2 linked regions of the Bombyx mori genome follow. Each later gene encodes a partner of the first gene's protein in a complex. Links are inferred from orthologs where the notes say so. Each region holds a gene or a part of one and is shown on either strand. Other genes may lie near its edges.

The links.
Region 2: the proteins of Ef-1d (region 1) and Ef-1g are in contact, whole or in part, in a crystal structure (PDB 5JPO), measured with the Homo sapiens proteins. The link is inferred for Bombyx mori from reciprocal best matches to the Homo sapiens genes EEF1D and EEF1G. Residues at the interface, in NP_001123527.1 of Homo sapiens: Ala2, Asn4, Phe5, Leu6, His8, Glu9, Ile11, Trp12, Phe13, Lys15, Phe16; in NP_001395.1 of Homo sapiens: Tyr9, Trp13, Arg14, Phe40, Gly41, Asn44, Gly56, Lys57, Val58, Ser104, Val107, Pro108, Ser111, Thr112, Phe115, Ile120, Met121, His123, Asn130, Glu134.

What each region holds. Positions count from the first base shown.
Region 1 is NC_085111.1:9,759,119-9,768,652, forward strand, and holds Ef-1d (elongation factor 1 delta), read left to right. Parts: upstream 1-1,585; 5' UTR 1,586-1,645; intron 1,646-1,887; 5' UTR 1,888-1,888; coding exon 1,889-1,975; intron 1,976-2,092; coding exon 2,093-2,179; intron 2,180-2,866; coding exon 2,867-3,052; intron 3,053-4,068; coding exon 4,069-4,216; intron 4,217-4,689; coding exon 4,690-4,931; coding exon of another isoform or gene 4,932-5,006; exon of another isoform or gene 5,007-5,913; coding exon 5,914-5,952; 3' UTR 5,953-5,972; downstream 5,973-9,534.
Region 2 is NC_085124.1:12,659,688-12,670,126, forward strand, and holds Ef-1g (elongation factor 1 gamma), read right to left. Parts: upstream 9,402-10,439; coding exon 9,390-9,401; intron 9,277-9,389; coding exon 9,127-9,276; intron 9,043-9,126; coding exon 8,976-9,042; intron 8,556-8,975; coding exon 8,413-8,555; intron 7,930-8,412; coding exon 7,789-7,929; intron 7,240-7,788; coding exon 7,066-7,239; intron 6,503-7,065; coding exon 6,369-6,502; intron 5,847-6,368; coding exon 5,677-5,846; intron 5,416-5,676; coding exon 5,273-5,415; intron 4,365-5,272; coding exon 4,227-4,364; 3' UTR 3,914-4,226; downstream 1-3,913. UniProt on the Homo sapiens protein: Probably plays a role in anchoring the complex to other cellular components.

The sequences.
Region 1 (9,534 bases):
CGAAAGTCCAGCAAGCGCGCCAACTATCCGTGGATGCCAGCGTTCTTAGTTGTCGACGATTGCCTCGTTGACCCGTCAAGTCTAGTTGTAGTGTTAACTGCGAGAACCCCCTACTCCGCCCGGGTTCTGATCTCGGTTGTCAGGTTAAGAGTGCGACGGTAGGCGTTTGGTGGGTGGCCGTAAAATTATCTTTGGGCCTGCGGTCTGCTTCTAACATCTGCAGACCGTCAAGACCTACATACCCCGCATAACCTCTAGATGAAAAAATGTCGCAAGCGGTTTGGTCATTGTTCCAAAAAGAAAAAAGCTTATCGTTTTGATATGGAGGAAAGAAATGAGATAAAATGAGATGAAGTTAGTTTATTTGAGATTTCAATTAATTCGGATGAAATTAAGTGAAGCTAGATAAGATGAGGTGAAACAAAGTCTCAGTAAAATGGTGGTTGCTTAGTGAGACTTTTTAGAGGACTTTTTGAAATAGCTCGAGATGCTAACTATGTCTATCTTTTTATATATTTTTCTACATTTGGGAACTTTCACAGGTGTAAAACAAAAAATAAGCCATCACTATTACACATTTAAAGCTGAAGAAACACTGAATTAAGAAAATAAATCAAATCACAAAACTTTCCCTCCTCGCGTTTCCGCCAAATGTATTTATATATTCTTTCATAATGTATATTCGTATATTTATGGTTGTAGTATTAAGTGTTTAGTAAGAGAAGGACATATGTTGGACGGTTATATTTTGAAGGGATTGGGTTCTTTAGGTGATGAGGGGCTATTTAAAAACACAACTGCTTCATTATAATTATATTGCAGATTGCTTAAACACTTTTACACCATTATACAATTATTATCTTTATATATTTTATAAAACTATTACATGTTTTTCATGCTGTGTCGAGATGAGAAGTCCTACTGACATTTTCTTACGAGAATACAATGATCTGTTTTTTAAAACATTTAAAATAATTCCAATATTCGAAATCTAATCAAGTGTCAAGTGTTGCCTGCCATTACATTTAATATACAAACTCCAACAACATAGATCCAAACTACCACTTTTTTGTTTCTATCGACTTCTTTTGTGTCTTCTTTCACTTATCTAATGATATAACACAAACACAACTTGTTTTGTCCATTCTTATTACATTTAATGTAAATCTGTGCTATTAAGACTTGTGTCACTCGTGATTGCTTCTCAAATCGTCTTTCATTTCTTGACTGGAAAACATTAACTCCAATACAAAAAAATGATAAGTTCGTTTTGCGGAACGAGATTCGGACAACAATTTCAGTAATGCGAATGATTTTTATGTTTGTACAGAAATGGCTTAATTTTTTTTTTATAAAAGAGATGAATATCCGTTCTATGATCCTTTTGCCTCTCATTAAAAGAAACTATAGAACTTTCCTCCATAGACGAAACTAACAACACTGGACCACTCACTGGACACATTTCAATTTTTAGCACTTGTCAATTGTTTTTGGTTGTCTTTGTCTTTTTAGTTTCCGTCATCATTTGAATGGCTGTTAGGTTTGCTCTATTAACTTTATTTACGTAAAAATTCAATTTAATTGTATGAACCAACGTTTTTATTGTATTTAAATACAATTCAAATCTAAATTTTGGAATAATCAGGTTGGTAAATATTTAAAATTATTAGATGACAAGAAACACGTAGGTAGGTAGTTTAGAGATAACCTAGCTTAGGTTTGAAACTTTTGCTACCGCCTTTATTTTCGCTCAATTTTTTACATAATATGGTGATTAATTAATCCACAATTAAATATCGTTTCACGTTCATCGAATAATTTTTCATCATCAATTTATACTTAAAAATGCTTAAATGAGTACTAAGTAGTTTCATTTTAATATTTTAGCATGGCTGCTTTATTACACGAGAAGGTTTGGTTAGACCGGAATGTTTACAATGATGCTGAAAAAGCTTATTATGAATCTTTGTCGAAGGTAAGTTTTTAATAAAAAAAATTATTCATACATTTTTTCATCTGAGTAATTCTATAAATTATACTTTAAAGAATGGAGTTTGTCGATAGTTAACGTAATTCAATGATGATTTTGTAGGTCCAAGCACCATTATCGTTAGCTCGATCATCATTGGCCAGTGAAGTCGCAAAGGCTAGACAGCATATTAAAAATTCTTTAGAATGTGTGAGTAGATGTTGTTTTATTATATTTCACACATTGCTTCACACAAATCTATTAGATTTGTCACAGTATTTATTTGTCAAATATCTGTGTGTAAGGTTATTGTTTCAATAAGCAAAGACAAAGTTTTAATTTCTCATTTTTTATGTTATAACAAATAAAAATCAGCTTATATGCAGGGTACTCTGTGACACAGAGAACATGTCCACTAGCTGCTTTTGCTTTAGATTTCAGGTTTATCAAATATGAGTATATTAGTGACAAGTAACTCTAACGTCATTAGAAAGCTAATATAGTTTTCTGCTTGTGTTAAAATAATCCGTTCAATCCACTTTGTATTTGAGAATGGCTAGATTACATTTTGCATAAGATCTACATTGAACTAATAAAATAAAGTGAAATTGAAATAAGTAAAACAATAAAATTTTGGCTCAGTTCATTTCATATAAAATAAAGGCAATAGAGGTCATTTTCAGTAGCAATTTTTGGCTTGGCTTTTTTGTGCTATGAAATATTAGAGAATCATTCTTGTTTATTTTACTGTAGAAAATTAGTATTGTAAATTAGTATACAACATTTATTTAAATTTATTGTCTTATTTCAATATGCCTATATAAACATGCTAATTAATTAATAGATTTTCATGTCGAGTAGTGCAATAGAGAGTATAGTATTCACTTTTTTTTTCAGATGGATAGTGTAGCAACTTTGGCGGGTGTTCCTAATACAGAGCTCAGTACTAAAGTCATCAGCTTAGAAAACGAAAACAAGGATTTGAAAAAGGCTATAGATGATTTACGTAATTTAGTCATCAGCCTGCAAGTCCGTGTTGAAACCTTGGAATCATCCAGCAGTATCACCTCTGATTGTATTCAAGTAAGCATTGAATTTATAAGGGGAAAGTAATAATAGATTTGGGACATTAGTATTACATATTTTTTTATTGCTTAGATAGGTGGACGAGCTCACAGCCCACCTGGTGTTAAGTGGTTACTGGAGCCCATAGACATCCACAACGTAAATGCGCCACCTACCTTGAGATATGGTTTCATATAGTTACAACAGTCGCCCCACCCTTCAAACCGAAACGCATTACTGTTTCACGGCAGAAATAGGCAGTTTGGTGGTACCTTCTGTACTGCATCTGCGTACTGGAAAGTCTCTTTGAAGCTAACATTGAAAGCTACTGCAACTTAGCAGTTGATTGAATATTTTCAACTTCCACTATCACCTTTAACGCGTTGTTGCTTACTTTAGTTTTCAGCGACCACAGGGTTGATTTTTTAGATTAAAATTTCCATATCAGAAGCATTCAAACTTAAAACGAGTTTTACGTTCGTTTGTGGTGTGCCCTCTGTACACGTCATTAATGCTGTGAGCTGTATGTGCGGCGTTCTTACTGTGACAGATTTCTTATACTCGAATTTTATCATGTAGATATTGATGATGATTGACTAACAATAAATAAATGACTGAATTTGAAAATATAATTCAATATTATTTATATAAATTTATTTGAGCTTAGAATTTATTACCAGCATACTTAAATTACGTTACAAATTGCCAGTGTTGTGAAATGGCAACTTCATGGATTTTCATTGTATGATAAGCTGACATGAAATATATACCCTGTATATTCTGTAAATAGGGTGATCTTTTTTCAAGATTTGGAAGACAATGGGAAAGATTATATGCCAAAACATATGTGTTGCCAAACCATTAATTCCAAAGTTAAGTCTTAAAGTTAATTCCACTGTAGAGCTTCCAGAGTCTTATCAGCAAAATTGGCAATTTCAGGCATTTATTGTCTCTTCTTAAATTTAAAATGCAATAATTTTAAATGTACAAAATACCTATTGTATTACTAAATATATTTATCATTTACCTTTCAGTCAGAAAAACCTGCAGCAGCTTCTACTGATAAGGATGACGAAGATGATGATGTTGATTTGTTTGGTTCAGATGATGAAGAGGAGAGTGCTGAAGCAGCTAAGATAAAGGAAGAGCGTCTTGCTGCATATAATGCAAAGAAAGCTAAAAGTAGGCTATAAACATAATTCTTGCTCCTCTGTGCATCTACTGTGCTGATCTGTTTCTAAAGTGACAGATTGGATACTGCTGTGCCCTGAGCTCAGTCACTTTGTAGGCATAACATTCTACACTTTCTGGGGTGTGGTCTGCATTCCAAAACTATTACATACATAATATTTAACATACATACTTATTACATTCATAATACAATGCTTGGATAAGAAAGATTGTCATTCAGGTTTTCAGGCCAAGTACCATAACATACAATATCCCTTCAAGTTTCCAGTGCTTGTTGGCTACTTAAGCTTTTCTATGAATTTCATCATTCTTGATTACGATAGTAACATGTAAATCATATTTATGACCTTTAAAATTGCCATTTTGCTGATATTAAGAATTTCTAAAAAATAATTAGACCATATTATGATAAATAGTATAAAAGTATAGTATTAATAACCAATCCAAAAATAATTATTTCACAGAGCCAGTGCTAATTGCAAAGTCGAATATTATTCTGGATGTAAAGCCATGGGATGATGAGACTGATATGGCAGCCTTGGAACAAGCTGTAAGGTCAATCAGCACTGATGGCCTCTTGTGGGGTGCCGCTAAACTAGTGCCTTTGGCTTATGGTATCCATAAGCTGCAAATTTCCTGTGTTGTTGAAGATGATAAGGTTTCTATTGATTGGCTTACTGAGGAAATCGAGAAAAATGAAGACTATGTAAGTGTTCAGTGTACTATAGAAAAAATGGTAATAATAAGTATATGGCAGCTAATATCAAATATTGATGCTTAAGTATTCACTGTAGTGCCTGTTATGAACTTGTATAGGACAAGAAAGCCCTTATATTAATGCAGTTGTAACTGTCAACATGCTAAAATGAGGGAGGGGCTTTCTTTATGAGCTCCAGTAATTTCTCAATGTGTGGTCTATAAGATTGTTTGCCGTTTTATTGAATTAAAAAGATATGAACACATAAGATCAGAGAGATTAATTTAAAATATTCTGACAATTTACAAAATTCACGGTTCTTTAATAGAATAGGGAACCAGACGATATTTGGAGTTATAATAAATGACTATCTTACTATGAATTATAATATGCTCATGTATAACGAATACCCACATAATAATATGACCTCATGCATTTATATTGGTGAGAACCAATTGTTTACTGGTGGTAGGACCTTTTGTGAGTCCGCACGGGTAGGTACCACCACCCTGCCTATTGCTGCCGTGAAGCAGTTTCGGTTTGAAGGGTGGGGCAGCCGTTGTAACTATACTGAGACCTTAGAACTTATATCTCAAGGTGGGTCGCGCATTTACGTTGTGGATGTCTACGGGCTCCAGTAACCGCTTAACACCAGGTGGCCTGTGAGCTTGTCCACCCACTTAAGCAGTAAAAAAAAACATCTTATGTAAAGAACAGGTTTGAAAATAATGCAATGTTAGTATGGAAACATTAATGTTTAATATCTCATATTGTGACAGCAATGCTTTTTTTACTTAATAAATATCATTTCATAATTACCTTTTACAAATTTTTGTTATTGGTATACTGTTACATGATATGAATAAATTTGGTTAAAAATGTCAATATTAGCATTTGAAAATTGGAGAAAACTTTCTAGAAATTATTATTGAACTTAAAATATGATCTGTTCTACATTTATACTCTAGCATTTCGCATATGTTTTTTCCAGGTACAAAGTGTCGATATTGCTGCGTTCAACAAAGTCTAGCACAGAAATGTTAAATAAAATAAAATGAAAACATTGTTTGAATAATTTTTTTTGTCTCCCAATCACGAAAATATCCTCAAAGATTTCTTTCCTTGCAATAAGAAATGGCCGTTGTCCGGTCTTAGACTGCTGATTTTTACAATCGAACACATAAATGTTTGTTTAACATCTGTTGGAGAATGTGGTGCGTTATGAGTCTTAAAGTAGGTAATTTGTTAAGGAAGTTTATTTGTAACAAAATTAAAAAATACGATACACATTGTATTTTAAGTCTGTGGATCTTAAAAGAAAATAACATGTATAATCAGATGGACGGGTTTCGGCTTTCTTCGGGAATAGCTATTCATCTCGTAATTTTCTGCCTACACCCTTCTGCGTTTTTTCCCCAATTCATATAGGGTGTAGTGAAGTGAATATATTTATTTATTTGTTGCAATTAATAAATGAACATCACGAAATAGCTAAATAAAACACTGTAGGCAAATATTAAAAAGTACCACCTACAGAAAGATTCACAACAAATTTCCCCAATGGTTGTTTTTATTGGTAGACACTTAATTTTCAAAGATGTATTTCTAATGAATAAACTTGAAATATGTTGTAGCTATCTCATTAATATTGTTAATAGTAGTCTCTCTCACTCACTCTCTTGAATATATAATCTTGACCTTGGGCCAGAGAACATGCTCTTTGAGGAATGAGCATCTTAAGCTGCCTAAATCACGGCAGTCCGTCTGTAAATCATGTCAGTCAACTCCACTTCTTACTACCCGTATGAGAAGTGGAGTTTCTTCCTCACACGACCGTCAGGTAGGATTAGTTGCGAGGCCTAGCTTGTGCAAGAGTATTAGTGACCTACAGTGTCATTTTTAGGTCCTTGTTAGAATTCCTAGTTTTTTTTTATAAACTGTGTCACGTTTCAGCTTTGGTATACCGAGTATGGCTTTCACATGCAGTTCTCATAGTTTATTTCCAGAGCGATCTGCTTTTAATGGGCGCTCAGGAGTTAATTCGGATGTTAGTAAGCTCTTAGGGAGCCCACAGGCAAGCTCAGGATCGATCAAAGGCCGAATTCCTGGCTAATTTATCCGCTATTTCATTGATTTCTAAACCACTATGTCTCGGCCCTAACAAATGGGAAGTTTATTGCTGCTGACCAGCATGTCATGGTTTGCCATGCGTTCTGCAGTACCTAAGCGTAGGGTTGGTTGAACTGAGGCTAAAAATTTAATAGCCATTTGTTCATTGGACTATCATCGTTTGTTCAGTAGAGATCTCAATAATTTCAACTTTCAAGTTGTTGAATTTACTAAAGTTATCTGTGATTCAGTTTTTTAGGATACCATTTAATTTAATAATGGATATGAGGTTTAGGTACAGTTGAGGTCGAGAAAAACATAACTTATTGCATACATATCTGTTTAAAAGCAATGTTTCTAAAAAGCCAACCTTATCTCCTATTTATGTTGCGATATTAATTAATTAATTTACAAAGTCTACAGAGCAAAAAGGTGATTACAAAATATTCCTAGCTTAGACTACAGATTTCACAATTTACCATTAAACATGTCAAGACAATGGTTATTAAGTTTGAACATTTATCCTTCCGCACACACCTGTGTCGCTTTCACCAATCACTTAAATAATTCTGGGAAGTTAAATAATCGTCAGCGTTCTTATATCGAGGCGGCGCTCTGTAATGTACGAGATTTATCTCTAGATTGGCTATAAAGGACCGAGTGAAGTTCCCGCATTCCTTGTACATTACTAAGTATCTATCTATAGGTAGGTGTACATTGTATATTAACAACTTAAGCCCGTGGTTGCTAGCCTCGAGGGTCGTGGGTTCGATTTCCACATCGGGCAAAATTTTGTGTGGTAACAGGTTTATATGCTCTCTACTGAGTGATTAGGTAATGTCCATATACCTATGTATGTATAAACATATGTAAGTTTGTATATCGGTGTTTGGTTCCAACAGTCTTTGGACAACGATCGTACCTATTTCTACGACAAATCATTCGCGCGTCTTGTTTAGCGGAGCTTATAGAAGTTATATATATAAATAGTACCTACATAGCGCCATCTTATCCCACTCGGAGACTCCCTCGTACCAATATGTAGTGGATCTAGGATTTATTGTTACTGATCTTCAAATATATTAATAAATAATAACAGTAATAAGGTAGAAGTTTTGTTTTTGTAAATTGAAGACTTTTACAAAAAATGGTTTAATGCAAAATCAATTTAAATTTCATGAAATTTTCTGTTCTTAGAATGACGGAAGCTACAGATAGGTGCCGATCAATAAAATATATTTTTTCACAATTAATTTCTGCCAATACTAGATATTTCAAGTATATTTATTAAATTTAACACTGCAACAGCTCCGAGGGCACATCTTGTATTATTTAATTCCTTTGTACTAAAACAAGGCAATCGGTTGATACAGGCTGTTCCTTCCATTTAAAAGACATCAACGCGTGTACATCTTGTCTCGTGTGAGGAACCAACAAAATATGGCACATTAAATAGATATTAGTAAATAATCAGGACAGTGCTTTCAGAGAAAAATCCTAACTTCGCATTTCATTATTGGCAATTGCGTAAGATTGTGTAATCGGCACCCGATTGTTAGTTTTTGAATGATTTTGCTGTGGATACCTATCTATCTTCATCGATTATATTATGTACTATCGGCGCAGTCGTGGCTGTCAGGGCGTTCGTCGCCTCAGGCGGTGCCTTAGCGATTTTGTTTTGTACCACTTTCTCAAAGTTAGCAGTCTTACTTCTATGCGAGATTAATTATTATTTGTTTCTTGATTATTTAAGAATATTCATCTATTAAAGTTTTTTGAGAAAAATGGGAGCCTTCCTTTCCGTGAAATTTGGTATGAATAAACAGATTCGCAATTTAAAGTTTAACCGACTTAACGATTCGAAAATTTGTTTCTAATGTTACAAAAAGAAGTAGTATTTTTTCGTAAGTTGCACTTGAGAGTGGACAGTGGGCAACGTCCTCGGACAGGAGGGCCAGCATAGCACGGGAGATAAATAGTTGATGTCGGTGCGTAGTGTCGGGCGCGGGTAGCGCGGGGAGTGCGGTGAGTGGCGGCGGCGGCGCGCGGAGGCTGCTGCGCTCAGAGCACCTGCGCCCGCGCTCCGTAGCGCCGCTCGTCGCGTGCTCGAGTACCCGCGCTCCGGCCCGCGCGCCGCGTGAACACGCCGCCCACGGTACGTGATACGTCGGGGTCGGTCGACAGCGCGTCCGCCACTGCGCTCGCCCGCATCACACCCGCGCCGCTTGCTGGCGCGCCGCGCGGTGCTACAACCGACCGGCCGGTTTTGTAATTTTGCCGGGCGGGCCGTGACGTCATGATACTAGTTTGACGTGCATGCGTGACGGCCTGTGCCAGGGCGCCTGCGCCGTCGCCGCCCCCGACCTTAGGACTAGTGCTATGACGTGCTTGCTTCGTTTATAAGTTTAAACTTAAGTGACAGCGGCAATTAGACAAATTATCTGTCCTATTCATTTCCTTAGATGGATTCAATCGAGATTGCTTTGTTTATGTGGACTCATAG
Region 2 (10,439 bases), on another chromosome or scaffold:
CTGCGTCCACTATCCGTGCCGCCCGCACGCAATGCCGGCATTTATGAGCAAAATAAATTCTAAAATCTAAATCTAAAAATACAAACCAAAATAAAATCTGTTGCGTCACGTGCGCGCGGTGCATCCAGCGCGGGCCAATGGACGCGTACCTTTACTTGTACCTAGTTTCAAATTAGCCAATATTTTTGTGATGTTTAGGTAGTCAGTCACGTTAAAGAATTGAAAGCGTATTGATTATTGTTAGAAATGACCACTTCCATAGACGTTCATAGTTTCGATCGTTCAATACCTGTACAATATGTTGAATACTGCATCTGACGATATTATAAAATTTACGCAAATTTCACAACAAAAAATCGTATACGCTATATATATCACAAAATCCTTTGACGTGCATGGTGAAAAGGCCCGCTCCCGGAGCCGTAATTGAAAACAATAACTATTTGCTGAATCTAAATTGTTTTTATTAAATTCCGAAATGGCGAACCCGTAAACCACAAATAAAAACGTAAGTAGCGCTCACTGCGCTTAGTGCGAGTTTTTTAACCTAGCGGCAAACGTAGGCAAACGTTCCAACTCCATACAAATTTGAGTTAACTTTTACGTTATCGAGAAAGTTAAAAACTCGAACTAAGCACACTGGCGCCATCCGTGTTAAACAAAACTAAACCCTGCACGTCACCAAGAGCCTACACATACATTCGGATAGTGGTAAAACTTTTACAATGTACACAGCTGTATTGGATGACGTAAGGTATACCAAATCCGGGGGTGAAAGCGTATTTGGCTTTAAGCGACATTTTTGCAACTTTACAGGAAAGCCATTTGAAGTTTAAAATTTGGAAAAATTGCCATCACAAAAAAACTACTCCATCTATTTGAATGGAGTAAACATAATTGAAGTTCGGTTAACACCAGCGAACCGATGGTAATACCAAATAAAACGCACCGTTAATTACAAAGATAAATGTAGCGTAGAGAAATGTCGCTTGAACCAAATACTCATTCAACCCTCGAAGTAATTTTTCGTTGTCTTATGGTCAATCCCACCAATTTTCTGTACACGCATTAAAATTAGTAAAATGTAGCGTTGTCTAAGTCCCCTGAAGCATACCAATAAATAATCTATATTGAATGCAATGAAAAAGATTCGGTAAAATACAATTTTTTATCAATGATTTTTAGTGACATTAATAACTGGCAACTTCGGCAACATGGCGATTTCGATAAAATTTCTGTATTCAATATTAAATCGGAATGCTATTACTCATTATTGCGCAGCTTGCCTGAGAATATTAATTCTACTAGTGATTTTTCTCGGAACTCTAATTAAAATCCAAATGACAACATCAAAAGTTTTAGCGGGAAAGTGAATGTTAAAACTACGTGGAAAATTTTATATTTGAAAAATGTAAATTGTTGCGTTGGAAATAGATCCCAATTTAAATGAATGTTTTAAATTGTAATCCTGTAAATCAATTATTTAGGATAAAGTTGTGAATCAAGTTCCAATAGTTTATATATATCGTCAACGATAACTATTGTCTATATAAAAGAGTATTTCCTACATAGGCTATTTAAGATAGAAACCTCGTCCCTTTGCCAAGTGGAGTAATTTCTAAACTTCTGAATTTTATCGAAGACGTTAAAATGTTCAAAATACTACATATTGTTACAAGCACATAACAAATCAAATATTTAAATAGAATTAGGTTAAATAATAAATTGTGATGGGGTTTTATTCTCAAGGCTCAAAATTTCAAATGCTGCCATTTAGCAAAATTTTATTAGTATTTTATCTATTTACATAGAGACATGGCGTGTATGAATGTAATAAGAACAGCGCAAAGTTATGCATTTATTTATTCTTATTCTTGTGTACCTCGAGATTTTTCTTATATTCTGAAGCCATGGTAAGGTACCATGATAACTGATGTAAATTGTTCGAAAATCATATCATAAACGTGATATAAAATCCATTTTAAAACATATTTACTTTTCGGTTCATATTATCCGAGTGAACTTCATTAATCTGATTTAATTTTCAAAATAATGTCTAAGATTAGCACATGAGTTACAGGTATCATTACAAGTTACAACCCCCATCTTAAAATAAGGTGACCTGTGAGTTTTGTTAACTACAATCGCTAATAAATTAAGCCCGCAAAATTATAATTTGCACTGGTGGTAGGACTTCTTGTGAGTCCGCACGCGTAGGTACCACCACCTCGCTTAATCTGCCGTGAAACAGTAATGCGCTTCGGTTTGAAGGGTGGGGCAGCCGTTGTAACTATACTGAGACCTTTGCTTGAAATGGGTGTGCGCATTTACGTTGTAGATTTCTAAGGGCTCCAGTAGCCGGTTAATACCAGGCGGGCTGTGAGCTCGTCCACCCATTTAAGCAATAAAAAAAAAAGATTCTAATTTAGAGCATATTTTTTCAGTCTTAAGACTTCTCAACGTGGATACATGGTACTTCATAGCTCTTAATCGTTCGACTTTACCATGGTTTCATATCTATTTTCCTCATTTTAATACTAAACTAATTATTACTGCTTTTGCTCTATACTATTGTTACTTCGCATGTTTACTTAGCGAATAGTTTCATAGAAATAATTTACGTAACGCAATAATATCCTGTAAGAAAATGTACCTAAACGTTTAAAAATTCTATCGATTTAGACAAAAGTCTGATATGTGAGAAAAAAAATATGAATTTTGCTTTCATAACGTGTGTTTTATTTCATTTATTGGTAGCGATGAGAAATTACACTTAAAATTAAAGTTAGTCTACTAAGAAAATATTAAAGCAATTTTATTAAAAATGGGCAAGTAATATCAAAAGTATGTGTAATATTTCTAAACCTCAAACTGGTAATATTAAACTTTATGTACATCATACACTATTTCCAAATTAGATCAAGTAAAAAAACTTTTTTCACGAGCACAGGGGCTCGCAGCGCACTTATTCATAATTTAATTACCTATACATTATTAGGCTAATTACATAGTTACCTACAAAATATATAGGTATATTTATTCTTATTATCGATGTTTTGAAATTTCAAGAGAAATTTCTTTGGCTGGTATTTTTAAAACCCCACTGGTTGATATAGACGTCCTTCGTAATTCCACAGAAAATTAATTATGCGGATTAATTTAAAATCCTAAAAAGTAACCATCCTAAAGTAATCAAGGCAATTTTCTGAATAGTCAAATATGGATTCATTTAAAAGGCTTATTACACTTGGTTAAATTTAGTCGACTGAATTCAGAAGCAAATTTAGAAGTTCCTGATTACACTGTTCTAAATTCAGTTACTGAATAAATTGTCAGTTTAAACGCGACGAAGTAGCACGTGTCGCATTCCCGATCCTGCAGAAAGAATGGAAAGCAGTCGACGTCGCCCAAAACACGTCATCGCGGATCCTCCCGATCCACTAACGGTGCTTCTACGTACTTCAAGCACTGGTCACCGTTCTCGTCGGACCCGTCGCTTGCGACGAAGGGCTCGACGAGCAAACTAACTCTCAGACAGCCCACTGAGTTTCTCGCCGGATCTTCTCAGTGGGTCGCGTTGCCGATCCGGTGGTAGATTCTGCGAAGCACGGATCTTGCTAGGGCTCGTGTTAGCAACGTCGTCAGGTTGGAGCCCCGTGAGCTCACCTAAGGTAGGAAAAAAAAAAAAGGACGTGTCGCACTGGCCCCAGTATTGTCTAGACAACAAAAAACATTTTTTTTTGTCTTTATGTTTCAATTTCCAATTTGTCCAATAAACAGACAAAACCAATGCGCTGTTTGTCACACATAAAGCGTACAGTTCACGACACTCCGCACTTACTGGACGGCACGTTTCTTTTCCTAACAAATAAAGCTAAGGATAAATTTTAAGGCAGGAGAAATAAAACCACCGTTTACTCATAAATAAAAAAAACATGTTTAATTACACATTTGACTTGTTGAGATGAGATATCGATCACGGGAACGACACTGAATAAATGCAAGTATTATCATTTTTTCATGCAACGCCGCGTCGTTTTCGGCACTGCACTACACGGCGATTGAAAATCATTTATTACTGATGTTTTAATAAAAATTGTATAAATTGAGGACAGTTCCGAAAATTGCCAACATCCACCTATTTACATTTGAATGTTTCTTTTTTGTAAAGTTTTTTATAGTTATTGTATGAAATGTGTATACATTGGCTGGACGTTGGTCGGCATTCACTTGAATATCTTGCCCTGGTTGAACTTTCTACCGTCTTTGTCGGTTCCGTTCCACGAGAAGTAGTCCTGGACAAGTTTCTTGGTCTCCTCGCTCGAAGGATCCAGTTTCTTCCAGTCGTAGGACTCGTAGTCCACCTGTAAAACGATTATTTCATTAGTTTCTGTAGATTGGTTGTTATCTATACTAATATATAAATCTACAGTGGTTTTTACGGATGTTCCGTTATAACTACTAAACCATGCATCCGATTGACTTGAAACTTGGTATCCATGTAGAAAATACATGTACTTAATGGATAGGATAATATTTATATGAGTGTTGGATTCTCTACAGCAGTTGTGGGGGCGTTAAGATGAGAATCTTTGTGGGGGTGAATATAATAATGTTAATTTTAAATGCCCGGCGATATAAAATCAATACACACAAATGACATTATTTCTAAAGCCATGTCTGTTGAAAAATACTGTAACTGCACTATTGTTGTCTACCCTGCATGCACACACACACCATTAAACATTAGTCAGGGCAGCAATTCTCATCAGATACCCCTCATCATTACACATATTGCACTCAAAATATAAACTTACTAAAAGAGCAATTAACTAAGTTTTGTGAATCAATTTTGTTTTCCTATGAATATTATTAACTTTTTGGCTTTTAGAATGGTAAACTACACTACTAAATGAATTGCTGTTCGTTAGTCTCGTTAAAACTCAAGAACAGCTGGACAGATTTGGCTAATTTTGGTCTTGAATTATTTGTGAAAGTCCAGAGAAGGTTTAAAAAGTAGATAAATATGCAAATGCTCGGAATTAAACAAAAATAACAATTTTATTTTTCCATTGATGTGTCCCCTGTCCATCAGATTCCTTTTGTTGTTTTAAGTTTATACAGAAGTTTAGGTCTTTTATAATATCGGTTCAGGCACTACGAAGTTTGCAGGGTCAGCTAGTACATTATATATATATATATATATATATATTGTATCGGTCAGCACGGTTGCTTTTATGCTACTTTGCAACTATGTCATTTGTATACAAACCTGCCAATCAGACGACAGCGGGAACACGAGCTCCTTTCCGCGCCACACCCACACTCCAGAGATGGTGGAATTGTTGTCTTCACCAAACAGGCAGACGGATGCGAAAGCCTGTTTGCGCATTTTGTCTAACCTCTGGAACATACCTGGTGAATAGACGAAAATTATATGTAAAAACATAAAAGTCCACTTGTAAGTTCTGGGCTGCTATGCAATTTCTGCTTGTTTTATCCTCATAGACCCTTGATGATCAATAGGGACATTCTATGATAAAAGAAAACTCGTACAATTTATAAAATTATTCTGAGAGGTGTGTCAATGCAATTCAGTAGTACCATCCTGTCTATTCCATAAATGCACTAGTAATGAGCTCATTCACCTGTATAAGTATTAAAAAAAAAACTTACCCGTAATAAGGTTACAGCTCATGAACACTTTAGCGAGTTCCTCGGGGTATTTGTATTCAGCATACCAAATGGAATAGTTCTCGGGGTCAAACTTCTCCCAGAAGTAAGGAATAGATTTAGCTTCGTCTTCGTTGGAGTAGACACGCTTGAAATCATCCATGTTGAAGGTACTGAAATAAAAATGTAACAAAGTTTGATATCTCTTTTATTAAATGTTAATTGTTCTAATGAAGGTATCATTTTTAACACCTTGACTGTATTAATATTTTTAGTGTCGTTCAGAAACTTTGGAAGGGGATTCCCTCCCTCTTAGTCACAACTATTATTTTTATTTCTTTAATTAACTGAATTACAAGACTAAGCAAACATACTAATCAATATGTGAGTTTCATGAACTGACTATTTTAATGGCTAACCGAAACCCTTATTATATACTACGGATTCCTTCTTGAATGACCAACTAAACCAAAACTTTCATTTAACATTCAAAGAACCACAACTGGGATTTTTTCAAGTACAAAAAATACATAAAAAATCAGATCATGCACATACCAAATATCTTTCAGAAAAAAAGGTCAGTCTGGAAAATGAACCAGAACACATGGTATATAAGCACTTTCACTAAACAATCAAACAACAGGGCTTGCTTGTTTGTGAATTGTTTTTCATTTCAGTGAATAACAGTTATTTACCCTTTAGGCATAGAGTCGAAGGGGTCCTTGGACTCCTTAGGCTTTTCAAGCTCCTCCTCTTCAAGGTCAGGAACAACTTCCTCCTTCTTCTTGGGTTGCTCTTTCTTTTCACACTTCTTATCTTTTTTGCCCTCCTATTAATTCAATTTTGGGAAGTTTTAGTTTAAGCAACATTTTTTTCTATCTATATTCAAAAGTATATTTTTAATGGTATATATTGCAAGTAACAAAATTTCCTTGGCATAGCATTCCCGTAATAAAACTGTATAATCTCAAAACTTACTAATTTTATGGTTATATGGTTATTACTAAGGTTTAACATGTGATATTTTTAATATTAATCATCTTTGCAACATTTATTTTTTATTTTTTAGCAGTTACATTATCTGCCTTTTAAAGGCAAGCTAAAATTATGTATTAATTTTATTAATAGTAGTAACATAGGTAAACTAAAAAGTTAAACTAAACTACGATCTCTTGACGGTATTTTGAGAAAAATACTGGTGATACCAAATGATTCCGCATATTAACTCAATTTCGAATATTTTTGGAAATTGTACACTTTTAATGCGGAAAGACGATATGTAATGCTGTTTAGCTGTTCTTATTCGATAATTGCTTTCTTATTACTATTAAAATTTGAACAAACATAATTAAATTATATTTTTTGATAAAAAAACTGTAACAGTTACAGTACCTTCTTGTTCTGTGCACCAGCTAACTCCTGGTACTTTTTAGGGTCGTATGTAGGAGGAGCCGCACAGAGCGTGAGCGAGCCGACGACGGCCGACACTTGCGGCTGGTGGGCGACGGTCAGGAACCAACGCTGAACGTTTATCAGCGACGAACGGACGCTCGGGTCTAGCACGTGCTGAAGTAAAATAGCTTTTATGGCATTCTATTCAAACCCAATCGATTGTGACTTGCTTTCTTGAAAAACTGGTGGGAGGACCATGTGAGTCCGCGCGGGTAGGTAACACCACCGCGCCTATTTCTGCCGTGAAGCAGTAATGTGTTTTGGGTTGAAGGGTGGGGCAGCCGTTGTGTAGCTATACTTGAGACCTTAGAACTTATATCTCAAGGTGGGTGTCGCATTTACGTTGTCTATACGCTCAAGTAACCACTTAACACCAGGTGGGCTGTGAGCTCGTCCACCCATCTAAGCAATAAAAAAAAAATTCATTATTATTATTAAGGTACTATTTAATTTTCGATAACAATTTGCTTTTTTTAGTCTTATGCTTTTTTATTGTTCTCCTATTTGCTTTACAAACACTTTTATGTATTTAGTAATGTATTGTTTAATGATTCTCTGAAGTATCACTTTATTAACTGTGCTTACTCCAAGTGGTGAAGAAAATCAATTCAAATCTTAAAAGAAAGTTTTCAGTAGTTCATAGGATAACTTCCTTATCCTCACCTGGAAAGCATGCAGCAGTGTACTGAAGACAATGACATCGGCAAGTGTGATTCTCTCGGTAACAAGGAAGGTGCGTGTGAGAAGATGTCCGTCCAGTACTTTTAAGGCGGCCAGTAGGTCAGACTTTGCACGTTCAACATTCTGGAATTATTTAATCCTTATATCAGTTGCCAGTAGTTTGTGGCTTATAATTGTAATATTGAGTAGCTTATTAAGCACCATGACAATATAATAAATTAGAGAAAACGTACAAGATCCTATGTTTAATATTACTAAATTTTTATTGATGGTAGGAAGTCTTGTGAGTCTGCACGAGTAGGTACCACCACCCTGCCTATTTCTGCCCTGAAGCAGTAATGAGTTTCGGTTTGAAAGGCAGGGCAACCGTTGTACAGTTAAGAGTGAGACCTTACAACTCATGTCTCAAGGTGGGTGGCAGCATTTACGTTGTAGATATCTATGGGGTCCGATAACCACTTAACATCAGGTAGGGCCGTGAGCCATATATCTAAGCAAAAAAAAAGTTTAATTCTGAATAATGATAATATTCATATATTTTTATGTAATCACTTATATCAGTAGACTAACACATATATATTTTAATATCACAAATTCTTCAATTACCTGTTTGTTGAATTGCATGATACCAAGGTAAGGGAAGACCCAAGCGCAGGAAGCAGGCAGTAGTTCGCTGTCAGACCATGATGCCCACTGCCAGACACGGGCTTGGGTAGCCAGATCTCCTCCGCGGAGACTTTCATTGGCAACTGTAAAGTTCCTTTTTTAATTCAAGTTAAATGTTGTATTTTTCTTTTAACTTCTGATACTACTTGAAGTGAAAGGGTGTATGATTGGGATTATAAAATATTATGCAATAATTAAATATTATTAGTGATTTGTGAGTGTCCTCTATAATTATATTTAACGGAAATTATGAGTATTGTTTCATCAAGGAAAAGTCATGATTCGTCGATTTTATGAGTTTTTAAATCAGATTAAGTAGAAAAACGCTTTCATACTTGTACCATCGACGAATTATATAGTTAAATTTATTTGAAATAACTTCGCAAGAGGTATTTACAACCTTATCTTTTTTTAACTTTGGTTTATTAGGTATTCTTCTAGTTAGTTAGGTTAGATTTATTTAAGTTAGTTTTGTAGGTGTATTTGAAAATAAAAAAACTCACCGTAGTAAGCGATGGCATTGCTTTCAGTTAGAAGCACCTTTCCATCGGCACTTTCGAATGCAGGCACCTAAAATATACACCGATATTACACGTCACAACACTCAACATATGCCGAAATATTACTATGCACAATACGCCGGTTTAAACTCACTTTTCCGGCAGGAAACTTCTTCAAGAAGTCTTCGGACTTGTTGGTCTCGCCAAATACGAAATTCGGTGCTACTTTCACATCAGTCCCGGAATATTGTGCGGCGATCAACGCTTTATAAGCGCGGAAGTTTTCCGGATAAGTGTAAAGTACCTGAAAAAATAAATGCGTAATATTATTAATACTTTCATTATCATTGGGTTTTATTAATAAGTTTTCTATCAATGACTGGATTAACAAGATATTTCAAGGTAAATTACACCTACCCCGGCCGCCATGGTTGGAGTTTTCGGAAAGAGAAGGGGGGCCGAGGAAATATTGGCGAGGGAGGATTTTGCCCTTTGACATTGACATTCTGTGACAGCTGAAATAGAAATTAAGTGAAAATTGCATACACACGGTTATCTGTTAATCAATTTTTTAGTTTATTAAAAAAATCCCTTTTTCTTTCTTTAATTAGATTAGAATTAGACTAATATTGGAAATGCCTTGCAACCAAAAGCCTATTTCCAAGTGACTGTACATACTGTAGTTTAGGTCCTTATTTTCGGGCTAATGAAACTACCAATACCACGGGACGTTATATTATTAATTCTCTCTCACGGTCCGTACAGCTAGTCTATACATCACTCGATCAGAAACACCGTATGTTAAAGAATATAGTCTTGTGTAGCTCTTTATCATTGTAACAAAACGCTGAATGAGAATGTCTGTGTCTGGCTGTCTTTGTATCTTTCAAAAGTCTTCAAGCTGACGTGAAGGATTGAAACACATTTATTATGGCCATGTCTTGGGCACAAATTAATATTTGACAACAATTTAATATCGTCTGACCTGCGAAGTTTATTTGTGTGATGCTAGCAGCACGTCTTATGTCATCCATGCTGATCAGTGGCTCATTTTGTGGGTTAGCTTCTTCCTAAGCGAGCAATTAAATGAATGATTTTATAGAACAAAGTCAACTTCTGCAATTAGTTTTTGCTAGGAGAATTGAATGATTTATGTTGCTGTGTTCTTCTTTTAAGTGGACTAAAGTAGTTTATCGAATAAAGTATTAGCTAACTTTTCTGTTAAACCTCGTAATATGGCCACATCACAATTTAAATGATTAAAAACGCTATTTGTCTAATACTATCATGGACGAGCTTATACACTTTAAGTATTAGTAACTTTATTGGAACTGAATATTTCATGATTTTTTTGAAACATTAACCGTGTATTAACTTTTACATTTCACTGCTACTGATTCTTTTAATGCAATCGTAGTTGTTTTACCACTATTACTAATGTTTTTTGCAGAACAGAAGAAAATAGTT